Linked DNA regions of Tribolium castaneum. The protein of the gene in region 7 purifies or fractionates together with the protein of the main gene of each other region. This does not show direct contact. Links are inferred from orthologs where the notes say so. Each region holds a gene or a part of one and is shown on either strand. Other genes may lie near its edges. The genes, in order: uncharacterized protein LOC100142127, Cdk1, Cortactin, dnt, mitogen-activated protein kinase kinase kinase 7, Raf and Cdc37.

Region 1 (4,273 bases), about 1.6 Mb from region 7:
TGCAACTTTTTAAAAAATATTTATTTCAAATTTTCGTATCACAATTTTCGATTTATACATGAAAACGCTTCATGTTCATCAGTCATGGAAATGTACAATAAATAATTCAAAAATTGTACAAAACACACTCCAATCACTCTACTCTCTTACGCCACACAATTAAAACTAGTTATTGACGACTCAGAAAATTCGTAAATGCACAGTAAAATGGCAGTAAAACGTGCATTTTAGCCACCAAGCAACCCAATCTGGCTAACCATAATTAAGTAAGAAAATACTGATTAACTCATTCCAGAACATCAGAGTCTTTCACCACATGACAATGGTGCAAAAAACTTAAAATAATCCTCTATTATTATAAAACAAGTTTATTTGCCATTCCTTAATTAGATACTTTTAACACCTGCAGATTTGAGTAGTTCTTTGAGTCTTAAAATTTCTTCGTCTCGTTCCGCTAGCTTACACTCTAATTCTCTCACATAATCGGCGTCAGAATTATGAGTTATTGATTTGAGCAACGTACTAGCGTCCGGTCTATCTTGTGGGTATTTTACCATCAACTGGCAAATTATTTGAGCCAATTGTGGATGTTGGACGTGGACGTGTGTCAGCAATTTGCCTTTCCTTAAGTCATCAATGTACTGGACCCGCTCCATGTCGGTGCGGAACCGCTCGACTAGCTCGAATAGGACGATTCCCAGGGAATACATATCACTCTAAAAAACGCCATTATTTAAAAAACATAATCGAAAAATTGAAAACTTAAAATTTAGTACAGAGCGTAAGAACAAGAGAAAAATAAAATAACAAACATTCTTAAGATAATAGAAAACATAAGACTCAAAGTTATGAAGAAAGTGAAAAGAATCAAAATTTCCTTCAAACAGTTGGCTATCTTTAACGGTAAAGTTTTTATTTTTGTATTTTTCGACCATACTGTCTTGAAAAATATCAAGTTCATCTGTGTTTCAAGTGTTACGATTGTTTAAATCACAGTCGCCATAAAAATAAGCCCCCCGATACTCGTAGTTTACTGACCAATAAAAATTTCAAGACTTATTTAAGAGGATAAGATAAAACCGTGAATCAGCAAACACTTTATTTTGTTTGTTCTCACGTAATCTATTACGCATTAATTATTTTAAACACTTGTTGCCTTGTTTACCCCAACAAAACCAATATTTGCCCTTACCTTTGGATCACATTTACCATCAAGTTGTTCAGGCGCCGCGTAAAGTTTCGTACCAAACGCCAAACTATGCCTCACATTCTGCAAAGGACACGCCAAACCAAAATCACCCAACTGTACCAACAAATTGCCGTTTTCAATCTGAATGAAAATATTGCTCGGCTTAATATCGTGATGAACGATTCCCTTGGAATGAATATATTCCAACCCTAGACAAGACACGATTGTAATTCACACAATTGTAATTGTAATCACATTACTCAACGTTACCTTTAAGTAACTGCCTCAAAACCTCGTAAATCGTCTCGTTTCTCACATGCCCTGTGACGGGAAGTAGGGCTTTATCAGCGTCTTCGACCAACAATTCGGCGTCATTTCGCCTCTCTAGCCACTGTTTCAGAGTGGATTGACATAGGGCCATTTGTATGTAAAGAGTGGCCCATTTCACGTTGGCCCTTTGCTGCATTTTCAACTCCCTTATTTCCTTCAAGTCCAACTTACAAATGGCTTTCCCGCCCTCCGAAACACTGTTCCGTTTGACACGTTTTCGCGAGTTTTTCGACCGGTTTGTAACGCTACTAATGCTATGCTCGAAGTTAACTTCAAAATCGGACGTATCCTCTGATTTAACCTCGTCGGAAAACGAGTGTCTTGGCGTTTCGTGATAGATGTATTCGGCGTCAATGTGCGATTTCATTTCTTCAGTATATGATTCGGTTTCGTCCGTAATTGCATTACCCCCAGTGGGGGCCCCCAGCTCAAGCCAGGCCGCTTTGTACTGTACGATATTGGCATGGTTAACACTAGCGAAGGTTTTCACCTCCGATAGATAGTTCCGGACGGCTTCGATCCCCTCAGCTCTGATTGGAATTTTCTTAACTGCGTATTCAGTCCCGTCTAGTTTGTGTTTGACGCGGTAAACCTGGCCAAAGCCGCCCCCAGCTATGTACTCAATCTCGTCAAATTCTTGACAATAGTGCGAATTTATCAAGTCAGTGTTTGGCCAAACTGGGCGCAAAGTCACGGCGTTTTCGCCCCCCATTGAAGTTTTCAACAAGTGGTGGAAGGCCTGTTGGTAGGCCGCCCGCATGCCTTCAAACTCATCCATGTGGTAGCTTTCATCAATCAGATTCATTTGGAACAGGCGGTTGCAGATCAGATTGTACATTTTTGAGACTTTTTCCGCGTCCGTTTCGTAGATGGTGCACAGATTCTTGACCAAGCTCTCGATCAGGATGCTGATGGGGGTTGAGACACTTGGCCGTTTCGTTACAAGCTTTAAGGAGGTTTTGGGTTTAGTTTCGTGGTTTTCCATCGATTTGGCCCCGTTATTTCCACTGTCAACGTCCGATTCTGACATACCAGATTTTGCCATCTTGCACGGAATCTTCCAGAATGTCACTCACAAACACCTTAAATTTACAAAAAATTAAGCGGAATTTAGGCAAAATGTTACACAAACGAGTGATTTTGAACATACATAACCAGCAGACAAGTCACAACTTGTAACACACAACAAAAACCTTCGAGGTGAAATTACGACATGTCCATCTGTTCGATGACAGTTGCACAGTGAATTTTGGTAGTTTTTGTTGGCCGACTGGCGCCCGCCTGCATTACCGACCGAATTTGACAGGAAAACAGACGGTTTTTTGGGTTTTGTAAATTTATCTTCTGTGAATTTTTATTGGGGGCAATAAAAACGGGTGTGCGAGTCGAGAGTGGGCTATAGACAGGTAATAATAACGCTCAAAATCGAAACTTTCGAATTTGTTATTAGTTAGAATTGTGTGTCTGTGTGGGCATTTCCTGTCCTGTCGCCTATCATTGGGGCTAAAATCGTTGCGTTTTACATTTTTGGCCGCGTTCCAGAATTATCTTCAAAGCTAAGTGTATGCCAAGAATGTGACAGTACTCAAAAATTATTTTTCATCATGACCAGTTTTGCGGCACCGTTTAATCGCGTCAGTGATCCATAAAAATACAATTACTGATTTAGGTACACATGTGAGACCACGATGGCCACTGAACCGCTGGTAGTCCAGGCCATTTATCCGTTCAAAGGATCGAATAACGATGAGGTAAGTTAGAATTTTCCCTAGTCCAGGTGTGTGAGCACAGTGGTTTTAGTTGTGCTTCAAGAAGGGCGACCTGATCACAGTCACCCAGAAGGACGACGGGTGGTGGGAAGGCACCTTCAACGGGAAAACAGGCTGGTTCCCCAGCAATTACGTCAAGGAATCCAAAGGTTACAACACGCGAAAATTAATCAATTGTTGCGAATTTTTTATTTTAGATGCCCCAAAGCCGGTGGTTGTGCAACAAAATCAGTACAAAAGCGTGGTTTTGAAAGACTTGATCGATTCGGAGAAGGCGCACGTCACCGAACTTGAAAGTTTAGTCACGAACTTTTTACAACCGCTGGAAAAAAGCGCCATGTAATTATAATCAGCGGAAATCGATATTTATGGAACGTAAAAATACAAGACAGCTGTTTGCAGATTGACCAATGATGAGTACAAACAGTTGACTGGGAATATCGCTGAAGTCCTTGATACGCATCAGCAGTTGTTGAAGCTGATGGAGGCGGAACAGGCCAAGCCGGGCCTGGAACAGAGAGTGGGGCGCCTTTTTCTCACATGGGCCCGCAGGATTAAGGCTGTTAATCAGGCCTATTGTGCCCACCATCCCAAAGCCGCCTGCATCCTAGATCAGTACAAGTAAGAGTAACGATTGATTCTAAATATATAAACTCAAAAAATTTAATAAAATGGGTTGTTTCTGGATATCGTCTCATAGTCATTAAATTCGAAAAAAATGTTTTTTGTCCTTAGAGAGGAGTTGACAAAGTACATGGAATCTCGAGGCGCCACCAGCCCGGGCGTCCTTGTCTTGACAGTCCTCCTCAGTAAGCCCTTCCGTCGTCTTGATAAATACTCGGGCATGCTTCAAGAACTTGAACGTCATGTCGAAGAATGCCATCCTGACCGAGGTGATACCCAACGCTCAGTCGCCGTCTACAAAGACATCGCCACAACTTGTGCTGCAACACGTCGCCAAAAAGAACTCGAACTCCAAGTACTA
Region 2 (2,879 bases), on a different chromosome or scaffold from region 7:
TTTTATCTACTCGAAAAAAGACATTCTTATTCCTTATACGGTAACCATCTTAACTATTGTAGCCAATCATCTTTTTTTTTTTTTCAAGGATATTGAATATTTCGCCAACTATCGAAAATCTCTGGGTATCGATGTAACAACTCTCTGTTACGAAACAAGTCCTCATGTTAAACACTACACCGAAAATAAAGAAAGTTACGTGAGTAGCGTATGCAATTTTTTAAATAAATGCCTAAATGGCACAAATTAATTCACACAAAAAACATTTCAACGCTTAATTAAACTTTAGGGTACAATTTATTTTTCTAGACGTTGTTGAATTGCACAAAATGTATTTATTTCAATTGTTTCATTAAAACTATGTTCCCAAATGATCTGCTTTATGTTGCGCCACTGTCCCGCATTTCCTTTCACTGTTACCATAGCTACATTGACGCATCACCATAGCAATATACACGTGCAGCTCGTGCATGATGTATTAAGGAGGTTTTCAAACACAAAAGATTTTTTAAACAAATATATTTAGAAAATAGTCATACTAAACACGATAAACCTAAACCTAACCGCTTATTTAAGGATCGGCTTTATTGACGTATCAACCTTTTGCAAATACGGATGTAAAGCGATTTTTTTGGCCGAAATCCTCTTGGCCGGGTCATAAATCAGCATTTGTTTCAACAAATCTATAGCGTCGCTAGTCATATTTTTTACCTGACTTTCCAAAGTACATGATTTCCAATTAGGGAACGTAACCTTATATTCAGGTAATGTGGACACCCCTGGCCAGATTTCGTCGCTTGGTGTTTTCAAAACCCTGAATCGAAAAAAAATGCAAGTTGTTTTCGTTTCTATAGTTACATGATTTGATTACCGAAAAATGCGGAAAAGTTGGTCGATTTCGGAGTCGCCTTGGAAAAGGGCTTTTTTGTTGGCCATTTCGGCGAAAATGCAGCCCAGAGACCAAATATCAATAGGGCACGAGTAACGTGCAGAGCCGAGGAGCACCTCGGGGGCGCGGTACCACAAAGTGACAACTTCGTGCGTGTAAACGCGAACCGGGACCCCAAAGGCGCGCCCTAGTCCAAAATCGGCCACTTTGATAGCCCCTTCGGAGTTGATGAGCAGATTTTGGGGCTTAAGGTCGCGATGAAGGACTCGTCTTTGGTGGCAGAAGAGAATGGCTTCGTTGATTTGGTAGAGGTAGCTTTTGACGAGTTGGGGGTCCATGTAGGAGCCCTGTGGGATGGTGTCGAGGTACTTCTTTAAGTCCATTGACAAAAATTCAAAAATTAGGTAAAGACGATTCTCTTCCATCATCACGTCTTCCAGGGAGACTATATTGGGGTGTGTGAGCTCCTTCAGGAGGGAGATTTCGCGAATGGCTGTGGAAGGCACACCTTCGTCTTCGGGTTGCAGTCGGATTTTTTTCATTGCGACTAGCTGACCCGTCTTCTTGTTTTTGCCCTTGTACACCACACCGTAAGTGCCTTCACCAATTTTTTCGATCTTGAGGAAGTCATCCATGTTGGCCCCCTGTTTCGACATTGCCCCAATATAACCAAACTTTCCACTTAAAATGACGTTTATAACGTCAAATTGCAATGCCTACACGACCACAAACACGATATTTTATTCAAAGCACACGAGTTTTGTTAATTTTTACACACTTTTAACGGCTCGTTTGAAGAAATATGGAGAAAGTTCGTTGGAGATTTTTGAACCAACCAATCGGGTACAATTATCCCCGTCTCTATCGCACTCACGTCAATCACAATAACCTGTCTTTTTTTTGGCGTAAATAGACACACATTACCAACTTCAGACACACAAAATTACTATACGATCGCCAAATAATAGCTTTGGCCAAAAAATGGGTGTTAAAATCCTTTATTATTGTTGTATAATAATTACAAAATCAAGCATTAATACGTGAATAAAATTACTGACAAAAAAAATCCATTTAACCTTTCAAACTGCTCATTCCGGCTCTCATTATTTCATCAACCAACAATAAATTGCTTGCAATCACCGAACACGAATTAATTATTTGTTTCTTCACGATGTAATTATCGAAAATTCCGGCATCTTTCGGATTAATCGGTTGTCCTGAAGCTAAATCAAGCCCAATTGGTTCCTTATTGTTACGAGATTCTTCTTGAAGTTTTACAATAGTATCCTAAGAACAACAAATAACTATAAAACAATCAATGAGAAAATCACACAAACCTGAGCATCGAAACCAGAATTCGTTGCCAAAACTTTGGGAATTACAAGAAGGGCTTCCGCGTAAGCACCAATTCCAAGACGCGATTTTCCTTTAACGGTGTCCTTGTAAGCCATCAATTCTTTGTGGGCGGTCACCTCAAAAGCCCCTGCGCCTGAAAAATATCACAAAAAACTGTTTTGTGTGCAAAATCAATTTGAATTAAGCGCTATGACATTTAGTGATTTTATTGGTACGGTTGGTAGCGAAACAATTGGCGGTGCATCAAATTTCGTGATGGCCGCTTACCGCTTAGTAAATTCGGGAAAAATCGCTGTTAAATCGGTTATTTCGTGCAAATGTTTGTGCAAAAGTGTTCAAAGACTTTCAGTGTTCCGATGTGTTGATCTAAACGGCGATTTTCAACATTGACAAGTAAGTACCGAAGTTGGGTTTTTGGTGATGGGAGTAGTTGAAGCAACTCGTAAATTCAATTTTTGAGCTCTATTTTAAACGGAAAACGCATTGTGAGTCTAATAAATTAACAATTGTGTGGCCAGGTCAGGTCATTGACCCCTATTTACAATTTCAAAGCCTAGTAACGCACATTTTTAAGACGCGTCACAAAATGACTGTGACGTCATCCATTAAGCAACTAGATATTTTGTTAATTTCG
Region 3 (4,299 bases), on a different chromosome or scaffold from region 7:
TGATCAGTTAATCAGATGTTTGATTGTAATTAATTAATTTATAATTTATTTGCACTATTCTCAAATATGCCTTTAGAGGCAATCAAATTTAAAATTCAAAATTAATTTTGTTTCACAATGCGAATTAAATGGCAATTGAAATTGGAATTAAAAATAGCGGTGACTTCAATTACTAAAATCATTATAAAGTCAAATCAAATTTTAAGCAGTTGAAAAGTAAAATTATTTCGTGTTTGGAAGTTCACGACGAAATGATTTATTGCCACAGATGGTTGCGGTCTAAGTACCTACCGATCCCTCAGCCGGGGTTTATTGGCATGACATTTTCAAATCACCGTGCTGTACGTCATGCCTTTTGCCGCATTATTTTCTTATTTCTGTCAGTTTTTTGCTCCGCTTTACGTTTATACGTCCATGTGTTCTCTCAATCTCTTATTTTTGCTCACGTTTTGTTTCCTTACCTTTTCTACACTTTTTTTTCATAGAAAAATTGTTGCCGTGATCCGGGTTCGAACCCGCGACCTCCACCGTCGTAAGTGGCGCTTATACCACTGGGCCACCGGGCCCCAGGTACTGACCGTGTTTTGTAGATATTTTAACACAAACTTTTTAAATAAATCAACATTACAAACTATATAATTGCAATAATTCACGTAAAACGCAAATACATTCAGTTCAAAAGTCGGCGAATTAGCTTTGAGAAAACATTTTCTTCCACTTTTTTTCAATTTAATTTTCAAATTTTTCACCAGATTTTATCTGGATACCGGGTGTTTTTACCTTTTTTTGTGACTTTCCGTATTTTTCAAAACGCTGCGAATACGGTTAAAGATACAAGAAAAATGTTTAGAACAAATTTGTAGAGAATTAAATTTCCTGAAAAAAAGTCAGCGAGACCATATCTTTATCTTCAACGGTTTAGGCCCTAAAAACGTTCAAAGATGCTTAAGCGACTGATTTTGCTGGTGGTCAAGTATGGAAAAGTGAATTTATACCCAAACCGGTGAAGATAGAAATATGGTGTCACGGACTTTTTTGTAGCAAATTTAATTCTCTACAACTTTGTTCCTTACACTTTTGTTGTATCTTCAACCGTATTCGCAGCGTTTTAATAAATAGGCGACGGTGCCCAAAAAATTATCGCTTAGAATTATTGCGTTTTTTTTGGCAAACGCAGCGAATACGGTTGAAGATACAAAAAAGTGAAAGAGGCGAGGTTGTAGAGAATTAAATTCTCTACAAAAAAGTCCGCGACACGATATGTCTATCTTCAACGGTTTAGGTATAAATTAATTTTCCAATACTTGACCACCGGCAAAATGGAGGAAATCCGACACTTGAGCGTCTTTGAATGACTTTGGGGCCTAAATGGTTGAAGATAAGGATATGGTCTCGCGGACTTTTTTAAAGGAAATTTAATTCTCTACAACTTTCCTCTGAACATTTTTCTTGTATCTGTAACCGTATTCGCAGCGTTTTGAAAAATATGGGGCAGAGTGCAAATTGGTAAAACTTTGAAATTTTTTTAAATATAGTTTAAGATATAATTTTTGCACTATTTTCATCTCCGATTATTGAGAATTTGATGCTCTATCTGCCTGTATTTTTTTTATTCAACTTGTGCTAACCGTTATTTAATTACAACAATTTTTATAAATTGATTGCTCTGAAAACAGACGGTAATGGAACAAGTGCGCCTCTGGCGACATTAACGGAACTATAGAGGACGGGACTTTTTATTTGTACGTCGTTTCATCCTTAGTTTTAGATATCCGTAGGCTGGCCTTAAATTTCGCAATCATTACTACAAGCTGTTTCAAAACGTTGCATTTTCTTTATATTTATTTATTTATTTATTTGTAAAAAATCTAGTTGTTTAAATGCTCGTTCTCGATAACAATGCTTGACCTTATAGCATTTTTCTTAAAATTTTAAATAACTAATAATAATAATAACGCGACAAAATAAATACGAAACAATTGTAAACAAATAATTCAATAATTGAATTAATTGAATAATTAAACTGTGATCATGATCATAATTCAGCGTAAGATTGTTTTCGTAATTTGAGATAAGAGCACGATTGTCCTTATCAGCGTGTGAAAAGCAAAAAAATATTGCTACTTGTACATTTGTGACTAAACTTGACAAATAAAAACCAATCAGACTAACCTTATCTACCCTATCGGCCTGTATCCCGAACTTGCCCCCAAAGCCCGCACTGTAGTCCTTCTGTGAGGCATGTTTCTCGACTTTCGCGACATACTCATGCCCCACGGCCGACTGATCCATCCTGTCTTTCTCAATCCCGAACTTGCCCCCGTACCCAAAAGCGGGATTACTGGCCCCTTCCTCCAACTGTTTCTTCTTCTTCAGCGCGTCCGCCTCCTCCGTCTCCTTCCTCAACTGACTCATACTAAGGCAAACACATGAGACAAGCGAACCAAAACCAAAAACCCCATTACTCTATAGCCCCAGCTGTCCTCCCAGACCCCGCAATGGTGGCAGAGCCCCATCGCTGCTCCTGCTCATTCACGTCATTGACGAAATCCGGGTCTGTCTCCCACTCGTCATCCTCGGTGGGCTGGTCGTTTAAATTAATTTGCTGACCTGCCGCCGCTTTCCACATTTTTTAGGTTAAGTTTTCAAAAAAAACACCAATTAGGCAACACAAACGGAACGAAAAAACTAAGTAATTAGAATTGTGGCAATTTTGTGATAACTGTTATCAACAAAGGCAACACCCGGCCCCCAGTGACACAGACAACTTCGGGACGTTTAACCGAAATTTACGACACTTTCAAACTACCAAACTAATTTTATCAATTAATCAATAATTATATAGGCACTGGAACCACTTCATTTCCCTAAAAAATGTATCATTCGGTTGTTTGTAACAGTACACAACAATTTGCTTTTTTTCAATGATAATAATTCAAACGGTTGGTTAAAAAATCGGGTCAATTGACCTACTCCACTTGTCAAAACGTAAGTAACCTCCAAAAACGTGCGTTTGATTTAAATGTTCCACAAAACCGTCCCCTCTAAACGCCTGCGATTCCCACAACTGGTGCTACTTTCGCGTAATTAGGGCCACAATCCCTTCGTTAAATCCACTTTAATCGACTTTCGTGGCTCCAAAAGCATGACAACTGTCCCTAACCTCAAACCACCAGCTCAAGTAGCTGGGTTAACAACTTTGGACAAGAATTTGTTCAAGAAAAACATAACCGTCCCGTGTCTCATCCTTAAGAACGTGAAAATCTCATCAGTCTTGCCATTCGTGAAAAATTACTTGTTAAAAATTGAGAATTTTAAGCCGGTTTGTAACGTAACCACGGGGGAATCCCACGTTTACTTCAACCCGGAAATAATAGGGGCTTTTAGTGACTTGCCGCCAGAAACGCAAAAATTGCTAAACGACCTGTGCGTGCAACTCGAATTAAAGCCGTTGACTTTAAACTACGAGAATTTTTCGATTGAGGGCGTTTTTCGCGCCGTGCTTCCCCCGAATGTCGAGGGGATGTCGAGTTTTACTAAAGTGGGGCACATTGTGCACGTTAACCTGCGCGAACACCTCGTTCCGTTTAAAGACATAATTGGGCAAGTGTTGTTTGATAAAGTGCCCAATTGTCGGACTGTGGTCAATAAAGTGGGGAGTATTGATAACACGTATCGGAATTTCCAGATGGAGGTTTTAAGGGGCGAAAACGACACGCAAACGCACGTTAGGGAAAATAAATGTGTGTTTGAGTTTGATTTTGCGAAAGTGTACTGGAATTCTAGACTCTGCACTGAACACGAAAGAATTGTCAATATGATAGAGAGTGGTGATGTTGTGTTTGATGTTTTCGCGGGGGTTGGGCCGTTTTCCGTGCCTTTGGCTAGGAAAAAGTGCCAGGTTTTTGCCAATGATCTCAATCCCGAGTCCTTTAAATGGCTAAATCACAACTTTAAAATAAACAAAGTTGGGGAAAATTACTTTAAGAGTTATAATAAGGACGGGCGGGAGTTTATCTTGGGCGAGGTTAAGGAGTTGTTGCCGAAATTTTCGGCCAAAAATGTTTTTATTCTGATGAATCTTCCGGCACTGGCCGTTGATTTTTTAACAACTTTTGTTGATTTATTCTCAAATGATGAGTTACCAGAATTTGGGAAACACCCAGTTGTCGTAGTTTATTGCTTTGCCAAAGGCGAGGATTTCATAAACATTGCCAAAAAATCACTTTGTGAAAAAATCGGTCGGAATGTTGAAGAAAAAATTACCGATGTGTTTCGTGTGCGCACCGTCAGCTCGCT
Region 4 (4,231 bases), on a different chromosome or scaffold from region 7:
AACTGTACATACGTGCCCAGAGCAGGTGTGTGGGTAGGTACAGAGTACCTGTGTACTTCTTGTTTACATTAGAAAATGATGCCCGCGTCCGTTGCGTATACGAAGGTTCAGAAGGCCAACCTAGGACATTGACTTTTTGCAGTTTTAAGTAACGTTAAGGTACTCCCTATTACGCGTCCCAAATTCGAAATAAACGCCACCAATTGCCATGTGCAAAAACCATCAATGAAATACTCCCTTGTCAAATTTTTACTAGTCTGTTCATGATCACACGTTTCATGCCAGATTTTTTAATGATTGAGGTGATACTATAGGTTCGAGGAACGCAATGGGTTGAGTCAAATAGCGGTTTATAGCAAAGTTATATAAACCAGAGGTAAAAGCACCACGGTGTAAAACATTGTAGACATGAAGACAGTACACATTATTTTATTCGTTTGCTTCGTTGCGGCCGCAAGAGCCCAAATTCCCAATTTGGGCTTCTGTCCAGACTACCTCCCAATGCCAGATTTCGACATAGAGAGGTTTCTAGGAAAATGGTACGAAGCCGAACGATATTTCCAATTTTCCGAAGTCGCCACCCGATGTGTCGTCACAGATTATGCAAAAGCACCCAGTGGACGAATCTACGTCTCCAACGAAGTCACCAACAGATTGTGAGTATTTTCCCCAAATACCAAAAAATAATAACAACTTGCAGAACGGGCGTAAAGCGCGTCATTGACGGAAGCCTAGAACTCAGCGGTAAAGCAGGGGAGGGAAAACTAAACGTCAAGTACTCAACAACCCCCATCGCGAGCGAAACCGCCCTCACAGTTCTAGACACAGATTACGACTCTTACGCCGTTATTTGGAGCTGTAGCGGCTTTGGCCCTATTCATGCCCGTAAGTCCGACTCAGCCAAAATCTTTATAATTACTAACAAAAATGGCTTCAGAAAGCGCTTGGGTCATGACTCGGGAGCGGCTCCCTTCAGGCGTTGTCCTGCAACAAGCCTACGGAGTCCTAGACAAATTCAAAATCAGCAGAACTTTCTTCGTTAAAACCGACCAAGAAGGTTGCGCTATCGCAGCGTCTGACATTAATGCCGCTAATGGCATTACCGCAACCTCCACAATCGCCGAAGCCACAGGTTCCGAACAGAAAAACGCAAATAAGCCCGAAGAAGAAAATCAGCCAGTGGAGGTCCAAAACTAAACTTAAAACCAATATTTATGTTAATATTTATGATAATTTTTATATTTTAAATAAATTAATCAAACCCTACTAGTTTGTTTCATTTCAAATGGTAAAATAGCGCCAAATTGGGAAAACGGCGCACGCAGGCCGCAGTTTATTGATTGTAATACACCTAAAACGCGTGCGCTTTGAAGTTAACGTTTTGGCGGCGATTTAAAAGCGCTACAATCAAATATTGTAATTAATTTTATTCGCCACTGCGTATTATTAGGGCAAAAACTATAAAAGTGTCAGAGGTAACTGTTAAATTTAAACACAGCACAGTTGAGTTATTTCCGTGCTTCGGTTACATTCGTGCTGTGGACAAAAGAGTCGTTTCGTTTCGGTGGAAGAAATAAGAGATTCGTTGAATGTGGTGAGTGGTCGGAATGTGGCTGCTGCGAACACAGACCGAAGACTCGAAGAGGGCAAGCAGTGTGGGCGTTGTTTTGGCTAAAAATGAAAGAATCATTAATTAAACTGACTGCAGTGTGATGTGCAATGTGAACTGTCCACAACCTTTCGAAAAGATCGATCTCACTCGTTTATTTACAAAATGTGACTGAGAGTAATACTATCAATATGAATCAAAATTTCTTGTCCGGGTTTATTATTTTATTGACGTCGCAATTGGTTTTTGGCTATTTAAACTTGTACCTTAGCTTAGCCGAGGTTCAAAGACTCTTAGGTAAGTTAGCTAGGTCTTATCTTCTTGCATGTTTACACAAACAATTTGTTTAGGGCTGGAAGCGGAGCTCTATTATGTTAGAGATGGCAACATAAACAACTATGCGTTAAATTTCGTAATGCCGGTGCCGTCCAGTTTAAATTCCTTGCATTTCACTTGGGAAAGTCTGGCGGATCGACCAGTACGTATGTTTGTGGCTATCTTTGGTCATTAGTTTGATTCGTTTCCAGCTATTGTACACGATAAAGGTTGACACTTCCGACTCCCAAATATTGCTTCCGCCTCAGTTGAATATCACATCTAGAGGTTCCGTTCCCACTACACTCCAGACTTTTAGCCTGTCCCTGCTATGTTCAGGGGCGGCAACGGGGGAAGTAAATGTCACCATAACAATTAGCGTTACTATAACACCTTCGAACGTAACAACACTCATGTTCAGAAGGAAGAAAATATGTACGAAGTTTGAAATGCAAACGAACCACGTCTTGGTCCACACAGTGCCAACATATTCGAACTCAACGAGTATTTTTTACACGGCTATTGTCTCGGCTTTAATTCTGATAATTATTCTTGCTTCGGTGACTGCAGCGTATTATGTGAAAAATAAAAAAACGAGAGACACCACTAGTGCTAGTACCGGGCCCACGACGACTTTCCTCACCACAGGCCCACGAAATACCGTTAACACGTCCTATAGCAGCTTCCGGCGAATGCCTAGCTACTCGCTCATTGATGAACGATCCAAGGATTTGCAGGAAAGGATAACGGAATTGACTGTGCAAAGGTAACCGGTCACAAATCATTAACTCGTCCAAACAATGTTTTGTAGATGCAGAGTCCGCCTAAGCAATGTAATAATGGAAGGGACTTTTGCCCGGGTGTACCAAGGATCATACACCAACGAAGAGGGGGTTGATGAGCCCGTGATAGTTAAGACAGTGACCGACCACGCCAGCCAGATCCAGATATCACTCTTGCTCCAAGAGGGAATGTCGATGTATTCACTTAACCATAAGAACATCCTTAGCATACTCAGGGTGTCGATTGAGGACCACACAGCACCGTTTTTGCTTTATGCTTACAATAACTACAGCAACTTGAAGATATTCCTCCAGAAATGCAAACTATCGCCGGAGGGAGTCTCCCACACTCTGACCACTCAAGAAGTGGTGGACATGGCGTTACAAATAATCCAAGCAATGCAGTATCTGCACAAGAAAAATCTCCTGCACAAAGATTTAGCCACGCGGAACTGCATGTGAGTATCATCACACCGCCCAAGCTTTTGTTTTCATTCGTTGTTTGTAGTGTTGACGATAAACTCAACGTACAAGTGGCCGACAATGCCCTGTCCAGAGACCTGTTCCCGTCTGATTATCACTGTCTGGGCGATAACGAAAATCGCCCGATTAAGTGGATGGCGATTGAAAGCCTGGTCCATAAGACATTTTCGTTCAGTTCCGACGTCTGGTCGTTTGGGGTGCTTTTATGGGAGTTAACAACACTTGCCCAACAGCCATACGTCGAGATCGACCCTTTCGAGATCGTAGCCTACCTCAAAGACGGGTACAGACTAGCACAACCGATAAATTGCCCCGATGAACTGTAAGTATGGCCACTTTTTGGGGCAAGTTTTACGTTTTACGTAGGTTTGCAGTCATGGCGTACTGCTGGGCAATGAGTGCAGAAGAGCGCCCAACCTTCACGCAGCTGCATATATGTCTGCAAGACTTCTACACACAGTTAACCAGATACGTGTAGATGGTGCCAATTGGTGTGAATTTACGTGATGTACCCTAATCGATATAAATGTATATAAGAGATGTGTACCTTGTGAAAAATATATGACTGGATTTTTGTATTATTAAATATAATCTCTTTTCGTAAATGGAAAGTTTTATTCGTGGAATTGTTCCCACCCTCAGGCACGACTAGCCTGATTTGTTTCTGATGAGTTTACGGTTACTTTGGCCAATTCGCAGCAAGATCAGATGGGACATAGTTTTATGTAATTATAACACTCACGGTAAAATAAAGGAAACTAATTATGCAATTATAAATCAAGAAACACTTTTTTTTTCACCTTGAGACTGGATGAAGGAGACCAACATCTCAACATTATTAAATTCTTGACTATTTACTCTGAATTGTCACGACAAATGTCTTCACGCAATTTGTAGTTTCAGTCTTCTTGAAGAAACAAAGTGATTCACATGTGCAGTAATGGATTGCAAGGTGTTGTTATGGCTGGTACAAATTTACGTCCAAGTAAACGTGTGTAAGTGACACTGTTTCCTTAATTGCTTATAATCGAGTTTCCGTTCG
Region 5 (4,162 bases), on a different chromosome or scaffold from region 7:
GTCATCGATTATTAGGTCGGAAAGGTCGGAAAATGCAACAATAAAACCATCATGCTTGTGACAACAGAACCGGGAAACATTCACACAAAGGGTTGAAAATTTTTTAATTACAACTACGGTCTGCCGCCATCGTCCAGGTGTCCGTTCGCCACGAATGCACTTCCGGACGTGCGATTTCCATGCCATTACATCACAAACTCGATTAATTACACATCCGTCCTTTCAAAAATAAAAACGTGACTAAGAAGATTGTGGCCGAATTTATTTTAGTCCTTCCCCGGCTACTTTACGTAAAAATAATCCATCAAAACAATTACTATTTACCGTTATCAGTCTTGCACTCTTTGAAAATGATCCAACTTCGGTGGCTCTCATGCGTGGTGAAAACGCTGGCTCTCGGACAGTCACACATATCGCACGAAAAAAATCAAGGAAAAATCTCAAACGGTACGAAACATGATGAGATTTCGGACAGGATCGATAGGAACGTGTCGATTGTTTATGTTCGGGGGCCACTCGAAAAACTACGCGAGACTACCAGCCGCTGGAAAGAAACTGGCAACGGCCGCATGGGTGCGACTGAAATAGCGATACGGGGAAGACGCCAGGGACAGAGCAAGGCGCTGCCAGCGACGGACTGCCCAAAACTTTCGTCCCAACGTTTTTTGAAAAATATGGGGCAAAAGTTTGATTTTTTTTAAATATAGTTTACAACAAAAATTTTGCACCATGTCCTACAACCATGAATAAGTGCGCTCTCTGGCGACGAGAACGTTTTATTCGTCCATCGTTTCGCATCCTAACTTTTAGTCGTCCGTAGTCCCAAGCCAAAATTTGGAATTGTTTCTGCGGAAATGGCCTTAGGCAAGGCCTCAAAGCGCGTAAAACCTGCAAATAGCCGCCTTTTCCGCATTTCGGAGGCCGGTGGTGAATTGGGGCCAGGCCGTCCCTGGCAGGCCGATCAAGAAACTTCCAACTAAACAAACTACTCTAAATCGGTCTCGCTGAGTCAGCGCGTCTAAAAACAGATGCCCCTTCGTTTCGCACGTATTTAGGAGGAGGAACCGGAATTTCGGCCAAATCGAGCTTAAAGCGCCGGACCTGCACGACTTTAAGGTCGCAAAGCGATAAAAATACCGCGACGAAGCCGTGCAGACAAGTCGACTCGGCTTTGATCTTATTTTTATTGGTCCGTGTGTGACTAACACTGCGACAAATAAAAATTATAGCCCCTCGAGTGTTTTCAAGAATTGCAAGTTGTTGAGTCATGCACTAAGCCAATGCTCTCGGCTAAATTTACAACGAGCCCACAAGAACAACACAACCTACCGTTTTTTGGTACCATCTTATCAAGGCCGGGCATGGTTCTCAGCTGCATGTCGAGATCGTGTAAATCCCATGCGTCCTGCAACAAACGACTCAATTAATCAATTTTACTCATTTTCTATTAAAAGACAATTACGTCATGCGACGTAAAAACCGACTTACAGGGCTTATTTTAATGTTGAGGGGCCGCGACATCTCGGCACTCGGCTGGGGCAGCGATTTGACACAATTATCGCCGTTGGTGCTGGCGGGGAACTGGTCTATTTCCTCCACACAGTCCTCAAACTCTTCGATTTCCTCCTTGTAAACCACATCGTCACCGCCCCTGATCTGCAACGGCTCGTCGGCGCCCGGAAGCAACGAGCAAATAACTTCCATTTTTTTCACAATCTGGAAGCCAAACTTTGACTTTCCCCACTCAAAAAATAGTGCACTCACCTCCTTCATGCTCGGCCGCTTGGCCGCCTCCTGATCCCAGCACTGTGTCATCAGTTTTTCGATGACTGGGGGGCAGTGCCTGATGAGAGGGGGCCTCCGGCCGCTGTGCTTCGCCCACAAGATCATGAAAGCCGAAGGGTAGCCCGACTCCTTAATGTGGAAAAAAGGCTTAAGTCGCGATAACACCTCCCAGAGGATTATGCCCCAGCTGAAGACGTCGCACTTTTCCGTATAGTTTGACGTTTCAAAGACCTCGGGGGCCATCCACGCGGCCGAGCCTTTGTTGTTGGTCATGATTGCTGTCATGTCTGTGGCAGTACCAAAGTCGCATATCTTTAGCAAGGTGCCCCCGTTTATCAGGAGCAAGTTGGGCGGTTTGAGGTCTCTGTGTATCAAAGGTTTGGGTTTCATGCCATGGAGATACTCGACCCCCTGGAAAACCGAGTTAAGAGTGTGTCGGTGCGGCTTCGCCCCTTACTTTGGCGCACTGGTAGAGCCAGGACATGGCGTTGGCCATCGTGTAGTGTACGTTAGGTGCGTGGTGTAGAATATTGAAGAGGGAGCCCCCTTCGGCGTACTCCATCACAAGGCAGATGTTGGGGCCCTTGGTGCAGGCCCCGTACAGCTTGACAATGTTCTCATGCTTGACCCTTGACAGCTGCCGGACTTCCACAATAAAGGCGTCTTTGTCGTTCTCAGAGACGATGTTTTTGACCGCCACGAACGCATCGCGCCAGATTCCCTTGTAAACGACTCCAAAGCTGCCCTCACCGACTGCCTGAAACCACAATGTGTCGGTGGCCACAACCAGGGCTACTTTACCTCAAGCTTCTGAATTTCATTGTAGTTGATTTCCTCGACGGTGTACTGACATACGCTACCCTCATTTTCCGAAGACGCCATCGAAATACCGAAGTAATCACATATTTGGCCACAGAGCGTCCAGACAGCCCCAAAATTACGAAAAATCTCGATAAATATCAACCACCATAAATTTGGTTATGTATCCTTCAGATCAAGTGTCACCTTCGGCTCGAAAATCCCCAGCCGTGTTCAAAACTCGGCGCGAGTGTCAATCATGTCGAGCGAACGGGATTTACACAAACGGGGGCACCAGGGCTTCAAGAAGCGAGTCGAGAGTGACGTGATGAGCAGTGTGGGCAAGAAAGTCCTAGAGAAGAAATTCTTCGTTGCCGTTTACTCCCGGAACATTCCTGAGATAACAAAGTGTTTGAGTAAAGGAGTAAACCCGAACATTCGCTCCACGGAGTACGGTGTCACCCCTTTGCATTTACTCGCCGAACGGAACGACTACATCCTGGGGTACCGCCTTTTGGAGTATAAAAAATTTGACGTGGATGTGCGGAACGCCCACGGTTACACTGCCCTGCATGTTACCTGCTTATGCGACTGCAAAAAATTTGCCCTTCTTTTGCTGGAACACGGAGCCGACCCCAATATTTACGGCCGGTTTAATAAAACAGCCCTGCATTTATCCGTACAGAATGAGAATTACGGTATTACGATAAAGTTGCTAAAATTCGGGGCTGAGGTCAATGTTGTTGACTGCTTTGGCAATACGCCCCTCTCTTTGAGCATCCTAGACACCAATAATTACCTAATTGCCAAAACCTTGTTCCAAAGTGGGGCCAATATGAGCGTCGAGCACCAAAGACCACTCCATATTTTTTTTGGTACTTGATCATCCAAACGAAAAAAGTATTATTAAAATTTGCAGAAATGGTGTTGTATTGCCGCTGCATTCGTCAGATTGATTTGGTGCTGCTCTTGTTGGAGAACGGGGTTAATATTAATATGAGGGAGCCCGACTCAGGGCGCAATTGTCTCCACTTTGTTGCGGTGACCGGTTTTCTGGAACTGGCGGTGGTTTTGGTCGAAAAGGGGGCTAAAATCCACGTTGTGGATAGCTGTAAGCGCAGCCCCATTAAAGTGGCTGTGGACCACGGTAACGAAGTGATCGCCGATTACTTCCGCAAGGGCTACAGACCCCCGCCTTTGCTCACCGCCCTCCCGAAGATCTTCCAGTGGTCTAGCAAGGTCCGGGCGCGAATCAGCGAGCGGAAGCTGGCGGAGATGGAGAAAGAGGCCGAATTGAAACAAAAATAAACAGATCATTATGCACAATTTATTAATATTACGGAATACAACATTCAATAAATATATTGTAAATATTATACTGACTGACTTTTTGAGAGTTAAAACATATAAACATCAATAAACTAGTAACACAGATAGACTTTAAACGATTCAAAAACGCGATATGAGCTCGGGTTTAGTCTAAAAACTTATTACAAAACTAGCCGATGGTAAAGGGGAACATTAGGCTCGCGTTGATTGCTCAAGAGTTGGCTCAGCGTGTAGTAGTCGTTCTTGTTGG
Region 6 (4,300 bases), on a different chromosome or scaffold from region 7:
ATTTACTGTTGCGACAAACATTATTCAACATGTTTTTAATGGGGAGACAGGAAATAATCCAAATAAGAAAAAACAATCACTACAGTTTTATGAACTTATTTAATTTGAAACTTAAATTCTGTACCCTGGTCCAAAACCAGGAATACGAAATAAAATTGAATCGAAAATTTTATCAGTTTTTTTTCGGATTTCAACAAAAAGTTTCCAAAGTCTTGACTTTTCAGTCCAGTCAAAGGTTGGAACACTGAATTTGGAAAGCAAAGATAGATTTTCAGAATCTTCGAATTTCGTAGGATGGGATGGAAATAAGTAAACGCAGTATATTTTTTTAAGAATTTATTTAATACGAAAACAAAACAATATTTAAATTTAAATACTTGACAATAACTTAATGATAACCTCTACTCAAGCCGTATCACGCACTCTCACTCGTCCTAAACGTCCCTCTTGGCGCCCTCCCCTCAGATATTACCCGTTCCTCCCGAATAAAAAAAACTCGACGGTCCGAACGCCACCGGTGTTTTCGGACTAGCACACGGATAAATAAAATCATCAGACTGGATCTGCGTCCGATTCATGTTCGGTTCGGACGCCGATCTGTTAATTTTCGGATGACTCCTCAAAAGTCCCTCCAACGAGGCATGAATCTGCCTGAAAAGCGGTCTCTCGTCCCGATTGAACTTGATACAGTCTTCAGTGAGTCGTCTTAAAGCTTTGGGTGTGTCGGAGCGTAGTTTACTCATGTCTGGTTTGAGGTACCCCCTCCCCACCATGAACAGGATTTGGTCCTTGTTGTTGATGTGGGAGTAGGGCAATTGCATTGCCAACATCTCGAACATAACGATCCCGAACGCGTAAACGTCCGACTGGAAGCTGTACGGGTTGTCCTCCTGCATCCGGATCACTTCTGGCGCCATCCAGAGGATGCTCCCCGTCGGCTGGTGGAACTGCTTGGAGCCCGACCAACGGATCTTGGCCGTGGCTAAGCCGAAATCGCCGATTTTGACGGTTAGGTCATCGTGTAGGAAAATATTATTCGATTTGAGATCTCGATGGATGATATTTTTCGCATGGAGGTAGTCCATTCCTTGTGCCGTTTGTCTCCCGATTTCGATCAAAGTAAAAAGCGCGAATTTCGTCTCGTGCACGTGGAGATGCTTGTACAAGCTCGAACTCTCGCACCATTGCGTCACGATCGCCAACTGCGGCTTACTAACACACCCCATGAACAATAAAATGTTCACGTGTCGCGTTTTGCGCAGTACTGCCACCTCGTTCTTGAAGGCTTGCAGTTGTGCCAACGTTGGTATTTTAACGTTGAGCGTCTTGACAGCGACCGGGCCGTGCCAATGGGCCTTGTAGACCGTGCCGAAGGAGCCCGAGCCGACCCGATGGCCGACGAGGATCTCGTCGGCGGGGATCTCCCAATCCTCGATGCTCTCGCGAGGGGCGAGGAGGGGCTTGCTCTCGTCGGCGGAGCGAGCACGGGGTCGGCGCGGCTGGAGGGAGCCGGTGGGCGAGGCCTGGGTGCTGTGGTAGTGGGGGAGGCCGTCGTCGATGCCGCCCCGGGTCAGACTGAGGGACTTGGGGCAGTCGTCGCCGGGGCCCTTCACGTTGTTGAGGCAGACGTTGGGGGCGGAGCTGGAGCGGTCGTGGTGGCCGAGGGTGCCAGGGTGGCGCGGCTGGCGGGAGAGCCCCAGGCCGGCCTGACCTGGGTGCAGGATGCCCGCGCTGAAGTCCGGAGAGCGGGCGAGGAGCGCCCGGTAGTAGGCGTCCGTCATACGAACCTGGGGAAGCGAGATATTTTTGGTTCGACGTCAAAACGCAAGGGATGGGAGAAAATGCAGCAAATCATTCCGAAAAGCAAAATTTTGCATTCCATTTCTTTATTTTACTTTGGATAATGCCACAGACTAGTCCACGTTTATTTAGTAAATTCGGCAATCATCCAACTTCCGATAAATATTTCCAAAACAAAAAAAGTCCAGGGAGAATCAGGAATTTTGCGAGATTCAAATAGTGAATGTTACGACACTTTCAAAAATAACTCCACATTGTTTAATTGCGTAGGAAAAAACTTCTAAATTAAGCCAAATTCAAAAAAATTACAAAAACCTAGTCAGGGATTTTGTAAAGGACGAATTCCGAAAAAGCGAACAATTTTTCAAAAAAATTAAAGAGAAATTCAAACTTCCAAAGACGTAAAGTAAAAAGAAAACACTAGAAGTTAAAACAAACAAAAATTGTATTGAGAAGAATCTCCAAAAAATGCGAATATTCTCGTCATACAAATCCAAATGTAACATTTGGAACATTTTGGAAAACAATAAAACACAATGCATTTTCTTATCTAAAGTTTATTGCATGATTTTCATGTATTTGAAACATTCCATGGCTTTATCACCACCGATTGATATCTAAATTGATGCCGATATTAACTTTGAATTTATTTTATAAAAAATAAAGAAAATGCGTAATTTATTATTGTTTAACTTAGATTTATTAATACAGGGTGCTCAAAAACTGGCGCACCAACTCAGTGGTACGTTATTGAGAAGCAAGTGCAGATTACGGGAAAAATGTTGAAAAAATTGCTAAAGTTATATTTTAAAAAATCTGGAGCTACAAACTTATTGTGTTAACTTCTTTAGTTTTCATTATTTTTTTATGTTTTTATGTTTCACACCAGGTAATCGTTCCGTAACAAAACGATGAATAATTATTTTAAAATTTACTATAAGATTTTAGCAGTTTTTTTAATTTAAAAAAATTAAATTTCATCCAAAAAATCACAATCTGTAGATGTGCCAACACTGGGAATTATTTCCTAGGAAACCGTTTCAAAAATAATTTATTTTTATTGCGATCATGACTGTTAGACAACGTTGCCACATATCATTTACCTAAAATTAGTTATTTATCAATAACTTTAATACAAAGAATTTTTTTACTACTTTTACCTTTATATGTAACCACTTATCTACCACACACCATTGAGTTGGTGCGCCAGTTTTTGAGCACGCTGTATATTTTCAAATATGCCTGACTGAAGAGAGAGAGAGAAAAAACAAGGATGAATTACAAGAAAATACAAAGAAAAGTCCAGTAGGAAGAATAGAAATAACCAATGAAATTTCCCAAAGAATTTCATGTCACGAAAGTGTTTTATTTTGTTTCAACTTTTCCAATTTTTTTTACCGTGTTTTCTTTTTTTTTCTGTCACATTAAAATGAAGTAAACACACTTTTTTATTTTCATATTGCATAGCTACATACCAATCTAGAGTAAATTTAACTCGGATTTATAATCTCGTGCTGCCAATTAGGAAAATTTTAATGAATCAAATTAATACAGCTTTCAGTTTTTTGAATTTTTGCACATTAAAATGCAGAAATGAAATAAAGACACTTTTTATGTCAATACTGCATAGCTACATAACAATCTAGAGTAAATTTAACTCAGATTTATAAACTCGTGCTGCTAATTAGGAACATTTTAATGAATCAAATTAATACAGCTTTCAGTTTGATATTTTTTCCATCAACATGTGCAACTAGAACATTCAACTAAGTATGTTACGTATTTTTGAAAATGTCATACAAATTACTAAAACAACAGTAGATTTGCGATTATTATTTGTCGTCGTTACCTTTTGCAATACGAGAAGTATTTTCTCGCGACGTTATTTTAATCATTTTGCGAATGTTCGTAAACAAACTGGATCGTTGAATTCACAGCAATTTGCAGTAATTAGTCAACCGACACCTATGCGCTCTGGCTTTATTCATGCTCAAATAAACACGGCTACGATGAATCTTATGCCTTTTCAATCCAGCTGTTTACCGTTTTTAATAAAACAAACTAATTTCTTGATTCGCCAGATTTATGCGCTTCACTTATAGTGCGTTAATAATAACAACTTTTAAAAGTTAATAAGGATATTTAAGCTAGTGTTGAAAAACTTCCATTGCAATCTTGTAAAAGACGATTACTTAAAGCAAAATATACAGCTGGAATATAAATCATAACTTTGATTTAAGGCGATTTTGGTAAAAATTCCCGAAGCAGGTCAATTTTTATGTTTCCTTGCCTACTATTTGATGCATATGGTTTTTGTTTATCTGCTGTCAGAAATGCACAGCCACCTCTAACTTCTTGTTCAAATGTTAATGGTATGCCAAGTGACACCTCGTATGAAAGCCTTTTTCGCAAGCAATACAACGCACTATTTCTTTTTTAAATTTTTTCAAAGCATACGTGATAAAAAATAAAAACCAATTTTATAAGTTGAACATTATTT
Region 7 (3,253 bases):
GCATCGTCTATGGCATTTTTCACAGCTGAACCGTCCCATTTATTTATTTTAACAGGCTGCAACAATAGGTTATGAAGCCAAATTTACAATTTTTTCCGTATTTAAATAACAAGCGTGCAAATTACGTGTTCATTCATTTAAACTGTACCTTATCATCCTTTTCTTTGCTTTCTTTTGGGGCCATAATCTTAACTGACTGGTTAAATTTTCAATTTTTTATGTGGTGTTGTCGTGTCTTGTTGTTGCGACACGTCAAGTGATGCGTCAGAACACGAAATATGGGAAACGCGAAAATACACCAACATCGGTGAACAAAAGTAACTACGCTTTTTCAAAAGAACGGGTTTTACCAAATATTTTTTTTAAATAACGTTGATTGTTATATCTGCCACTGAAACTGTAAATTCGTTTGGCTATTATTTTTTTCAAGTGGATGATTAATTTAAGTCAGTGAGAGAAAATGCGGGAATTGGGATGGGTATAAGAAAGTTTACGTCAAGTTTATAAAGTAAAGAAATTTATTAATCTTCAAGCATTCCTAATAAATTAATACAATAAATTTGCATTCTTAGGAAATAAAGGCTAAATAACAAAAATTGTAAAGCAAGTGACTTTAGGGTTTTGACTGCTCATCAGAAGGCCCAGCTTCTTCTTCTTCCTTCTTTTTGGCATCAGGTATCCAAAGACCCGCAGCAACACACCTCTTCATGTGATAGTTGGCCTCTTCTTCATCCATTTCCTTGATTGTGTCTTGCAACATTTGGATGTCTTGCGTCTCGAAACATTTTCGTAAATTCTCGGGAAGACTTTCCAAGACTTCAAGCTGATCTAACCCTCCTGGCCCTATCCTCGCTTTCCTCTCCTCCTCCTCTGCTTCTTTTATGGCCTCTTCAATCTTCTCAGCTGCGCGTCGTCTGATCCTCTCCTTAAACTGGTCTAATTCATCGTCAAACGATTTTTTGTAAAGAGGATCAGCTATTTGGATTTTGGAGAAAAAGGGGTCCACGCAGCCGCGAGGGTCGTAGTCTAATTGTTTGGCTAGTTCTAGGATGTACTGCATGCAGATGGTCTGGTGCGCCACGTGCTCCATAAGGTCATGTTTCTAATTAAAAGAACAATACATAATTTACCCCAACAACTCAGTGTTGCCAATATACATTTTTTGCCACAATCTTACCTCTTCCATTTCTAAATTGATGCACCAGATGACGAGGTAATTAGCTGTGTCTTCGCAAACCAATTCAAGGTGGTCCCTGAGAAAAGCCCGAGAGTCTTCATAACGTCGCAACATTCCAAAGTGCTTCAAATTCTTCTCGTTTTCTTTTACAAAATTTTTCATGCGACTTTCCTTCTCTTCATCCGTTAATTGTTCGTCCTTCGGTCTCGGAGCTTTCTTATTAATAACAGTCTTTGCAAAACCTGGCTGACTAATTGTGTCCACATTCCACGGGGCCATCTGTAAATCACTAAATAAACATTAGAAGAACTAACATTCGTACAAACTTTTTCTTTCTTCTCGTGTTCTTCCTGTTTCTTCTTAATCGCTTCCATTTCCTTCTCCAGCGCGGCCAGAGCGTCCTTAAGTTCCCTCAAATTCGCATCTCCGGCCTTCTCGGCTTCCGCCAGCTTCTGCTTGGCTTGCGAGACCTTCTTAGCATTTTCCTCCCTCTTTATCTGGATTTCTTCCGCTTCTTTCTTCATTTCTTCCATGCGCTCAACTCTGGCCTGGTGCCTCCACCGGAAAAGTGAAGGGGTGTCAATATTTGGATGCGTCTCATCCTCATCGTCGGAAATCTGCAAAGCACCACCTAACCTCATTTTTTCCTCCCAGACTTCACTACCTCAATATTCTTCCACTTGCTGTAATCGACCATGACGCCAATGCGAATTTTGATTCCTCCAAGAAAATACAACAATAAAACACTTGCACTTTTGAAATAAACAACAAACGTCACTTTGCTGCTCCTCCGCCCTCTGGCTGGCTTTCGCGAAACGTCGGCAGAGGATCATGGGTAGGGAGACGAGGGCAAATAAAATTCCAGAATATTCTTTCAATCATAATCTAATACTTTAACTTTAAAAACATTGACACGATTAATCTTAAAAATTACTGATATGAAATAAAACATGACAGCATAGTTGGCAATGAAAAAGTACGGTTCGGTTTGTAACAATTGTAACCATGACTACCACCAAAATGCCATATCAAAGTTTCATGGCCAACCGCTCCCTGAAATTTTCGATTAATTACTAATAAATTAGCACATTGATTCGGTCAACTCCAATTTTAACTTGATATTGTCGTTCGATTTAGTAATAAATGGAGAACGTTTTGTGGAACGGCAACTTCTTCTCCACGATTTCCTTGTTATGTTCGCGTCTGAAGTCCCACAAGAAGTGATCGATCAAAATGGCATTGATTTTCGTATCAGTTAGTTTTTTATTGGCATGTTCTTTTAGCAGCTCGACCGCATGGATGGAGCAAGCTCTGATCTCCACTTCGTCCTCTTCCCCGTTTTCGAGAATTTTGTTGTCTTGCAGTTTCTTCTTCAAATCTTCGCTGTACTCAAACACCCCGAAATATAGGAGAGATTGTGGGATTCTATAATCCGCAAACATTGTTATTTCATCGATATCTTTAAAGTGCCCAAGTCCTTCGTTCTTGAAACAGGCCCAAATGTCGCCAATTAAAATCTGCGCCCGCTTGTAAATCGCAATTTTCTTGTCTTTGTAAGTCGCTTCGTCCTTGAAGCACTTGAAATTGTTGACGATTAGGTCCAGAAGGGCCACAGCGCTCTTGTCAGCCTTTTTCACGCAATTTTCAAACGAACCGTCGAAAGTTTCAAGAAGGACGTTCCCAACTTCGTGCAAGCATTTGACGCGTTCCTGGAGGAGTGGAATTGGGACATCGTTGTCGCTTCTGAATATTTTCGCAAGGTCTTTTTCGGACACTTCAGAGTAGTATTTCGAGTTCAAAATATCCACTTTTTCCTTCACGGCTCGATTAATAGCCGCACAAAGGGCAAAATAACCAGTGTAGCCCTCCACAGTCCAGCCAGCTTCGGTTTCTAAGTGCCAGAAGCAAAAATTCAGAGTGTCCACGACAAATAACCAGTCAAGGGCTTTGGGATCGTCGGATTTTGGGTGCAGTTTCACTTGACTGAACTTCTCACTGGACAATTTCCCGCTTTCGATCTCGCTAACCAACTGGAGATAACAGTTAAAATGTGCCTTTTTTCGCCTGATACGCACG

The links.
Region 1: the proteins of Cdc37 (region 7) and uncharacterized protein LOC100142127 purify together in Homo sapiens (affinity purification with mass spectrometry; 3 studies listed by BioGRID and IntAct, with this or other methods). This does not show direct contact. The link is inferred for Tribolium castaneum from reciprocal best matches to the Homo sapiens genes CDC37 and EIF2AK1.
Region 2: the proteins of Cdc37 (region 7) and Cdk1 purify together in Homo sapiens (affinity purification with western blotting; 3 studies listed by BioGRID and IntAct, with this or other methods). This does not show direct contact. The link is inferred for Tribolium castaneum from reciprocal best matches to the Homo sapiens genes CDC37 and CDK1.
Region 3: the proteins of Cdc37 (region 7) and Cortactin purify together in Homo sapiens (affinity purification with mass spectrometry; 3 studies listed by BioGRID and IntAct, with this or other methods). This does not show direct contact. The link is inferred for Tribolium castaneum from reciprocal best matches to the Homo sapiens genes CDC37 and CTTN.
Region 4: the proteins of Cdc37 (region 7) and dnt purify together in Homo sapiens (affinity purification with mass spectrometry; 3 studies listed by BioGRID and IntAct, with this or other methods). This does not show direct contact. The link is inferred for Tribolium castaneum from reciprocal best matches to the Homo sapiens genes CDC37 and RYK.
Region 5: the proteins of Cdc37 (region 7) and mitogen-activated protein kinase kinase kinase 7 purify together in Homo sapiens (affinity purification with mass spectrometry; 6 studies listed by BioGRID and IntAct, with this or other methods). This does not show direct contact. The link is inferred for Tribolium castaneum from reciprocal best matches to the Homo sapiens genes CDC37 and MAP3K7.
Region 6: the proteins of Cdc37 (region 7) and Raf purify together in Homo sapiens (affinity purification with mass spectrometry; 5 studies listed by BioGRID and IntAct, with this or other methods). This does not show direct contact. The link is inferred for Tribolium castaneum from reciprocal best matches to the Homo sapiens genes CDC37 and BRAF.

The regions. Positions count from the first base shown.
Region 1 is NC_087398.1:655,671-659,943, reverse strand, and holds uncharacterized protein LOC100142127, read right to left. Parts: upstream 2,801-4,273; 5' UTR 2,670-2,800; intron 2,602-2,669; 5' UTR 2,565-2,601; coding exon 1,460-2,564; intron 1,399-1,459; coding exon 1,193-1,398; intron 717-1,192; coding exon 387-716; 3' UTR 4-386; downstream 1-3. Other genes in the region: RtGEF (rho guanine nucleotide exchange factor 7), read left to right, coding at 3,208-3,270, 3,320-3,627, 3,691-3,909, 4,024-4,273. UniProt on the Homo sapiens protein: Metabolic-stress sensing protein kinase that phosphorylates the alpha subunit of eukaryotic translation initiation factor 2 (EIF2S1/eIF-2-alpha) in response to various stress conditions.
Region 2 is NC_087401.1:17,534,739-17,537,617, forward strand, and holds Cdk1 (cyclin-dependent kinase 1), read right to left. Parts: upstream 1,754-2,879; 5' UTR 1,546-1,753; coding exon 872-1,545; intron 815-871; coding exon 568-814; 3' UTR 501-567; downstream 1-500. Other genes in the region: transmembrane protein 53, read left to right, coding at 1-40, 89-250; CCT6 (T-complex protein 1 subunit zeta), read right to left, coding at 1,961-2,176, 2,227-2,378. UniProt on the Homo sapiens protein: Plays a key role in the control of the eukaryotic cell cycle by modulating the centrosome cycle as well as mitotic onset; promotes G2-M transition via association with multiple interphase cyclins.
Region 3 is NC_087400.1:1,549,369-1,553,667, forward strand, and holds the start of Cortactin (src substrate cortactin), read right to left. Parts: upstream 2,801-4,299; 5' UTR 2,630-2,800; coding exon 2,466-2,629; intron 2,417-2,465; coding exon 2,173-2,416; intron 1-2,172. Other genes in the region: tRNA (guanine(37)-N1)-methyltransferase, read left to right, coding at 3,146-4,299.
Region 4 is NC_087403.1:6,651,320-6,655,550, forward strand, and holds the start of dnt (tyrosine-protein kinase Drl), read left to right. Parts: upstream 1-1,431; 5' UTR 1,432-1,800; coding exon 1,801-1,906; intron 1,907-1,959; coding exon 1,960-2,087; intron 2,088-2,136; coding exon 2,137-2,690; intron 2,691-2,735; coding exon 2,736-3,164; intron 3,165-3,214; coding exon 3,215-3,511; intron 3,512-3,555; coding exon 3,556-3,667; 3' UTR 3,668-4,184; intron 4,185-4,231. Other genes in the region: apolipoprotein D, read left to right, coding at 409-656, 701-885, 938-1,197. UniProt on the Homo sapiens protein: May be a coreceptor along with FZD8 of Wnt proteins, such as WNT1, WNT3, WNT3A and WNT5A. Involved in neuron differentiation, axon guidance, corpus callosum establishment and neurite outgrowth.
Region 5 is NC_087399.1:3,650,872-3,655,033, reverse strand, and holds the start of mitogen-activated protein kinase kinase kinase 7, read right to left. Parts: upstream 2,801-4,162; 5' UTR 2,668-2,800; coding exon 2,587-2,667; intron 2,543-2,586; coding exon 2,243-2,542; intron 2,197-2,242; coding exon 1,765-2,196; intron 1,717-1,764; coding exon 1,489-1,716; intron 1,406-1,488; coding exon 1,330-1,405; intron 1-1,329. Other genes in the region: putative ankyrin repeat protein RF_0381, read left to right, coding at 2,843-3,458, 3,503-3,891; prohormone-2, read right to left, coding at 4,074-4,162. UniProt on the Homo sapiens protein: Serine/threonine kinase which acts as an essential component of the MAP kinase signal transduction pathway. Plays an important role in the cascades of cellular responses evoked by changes in the environment.
Region 6 is NC_087400.1:7,671,134-7,675,433, reverse strand, and holds the end of Raf (raf homolog serine/threonine-protein kinase Raf), read right to left. Parts: intron 1,788-4,300; coding exon 462-1,787; 3' UTR 322-461; downstream 1-321. UniProt on the Homo sapiens protein: Protein kinase involved in the transduction of mitogenic signals from the cell membrane to the nucleus. Phosphorylates MAP2K1, and thereby activates the MAP kinase signal transduction pathway. Phosphorylates PFKFB2.
Region 7 is NC_087398.1:2,272,961-2,276,213, reverse strand, and holds Cdc37 (hsp90 co-chaperone Cdc37), read right to left. Parts: upstream 2,002-3,253; 5' UTR 1,875-2,001; coding exon 1,842-1,874; intron 1,795-1,841; coding exon 1,504-1,794; intron 1,457-1,503; coding exon 1,178-1,456; intron 1,103-1,177; coding exon 614-1,102; 3' UTR 501-613; downstream 1-500. Other genes in the region: Spase25 (signal peptidase complex subunit 2), read right to left, coding at 1-56, 149-184; queuosine 5'-phosphate N-glycosylase/hydrolase, read right to left, coding at 2,311-3,207. UniProt on the Homo sapiens protein: Co-chaperone that binds to numerous kinases and promotes their interaction with the Hsp90 complex, resulting in stabilization and promotion of their activity. Inhibits HSP90AA1 ATPase activity.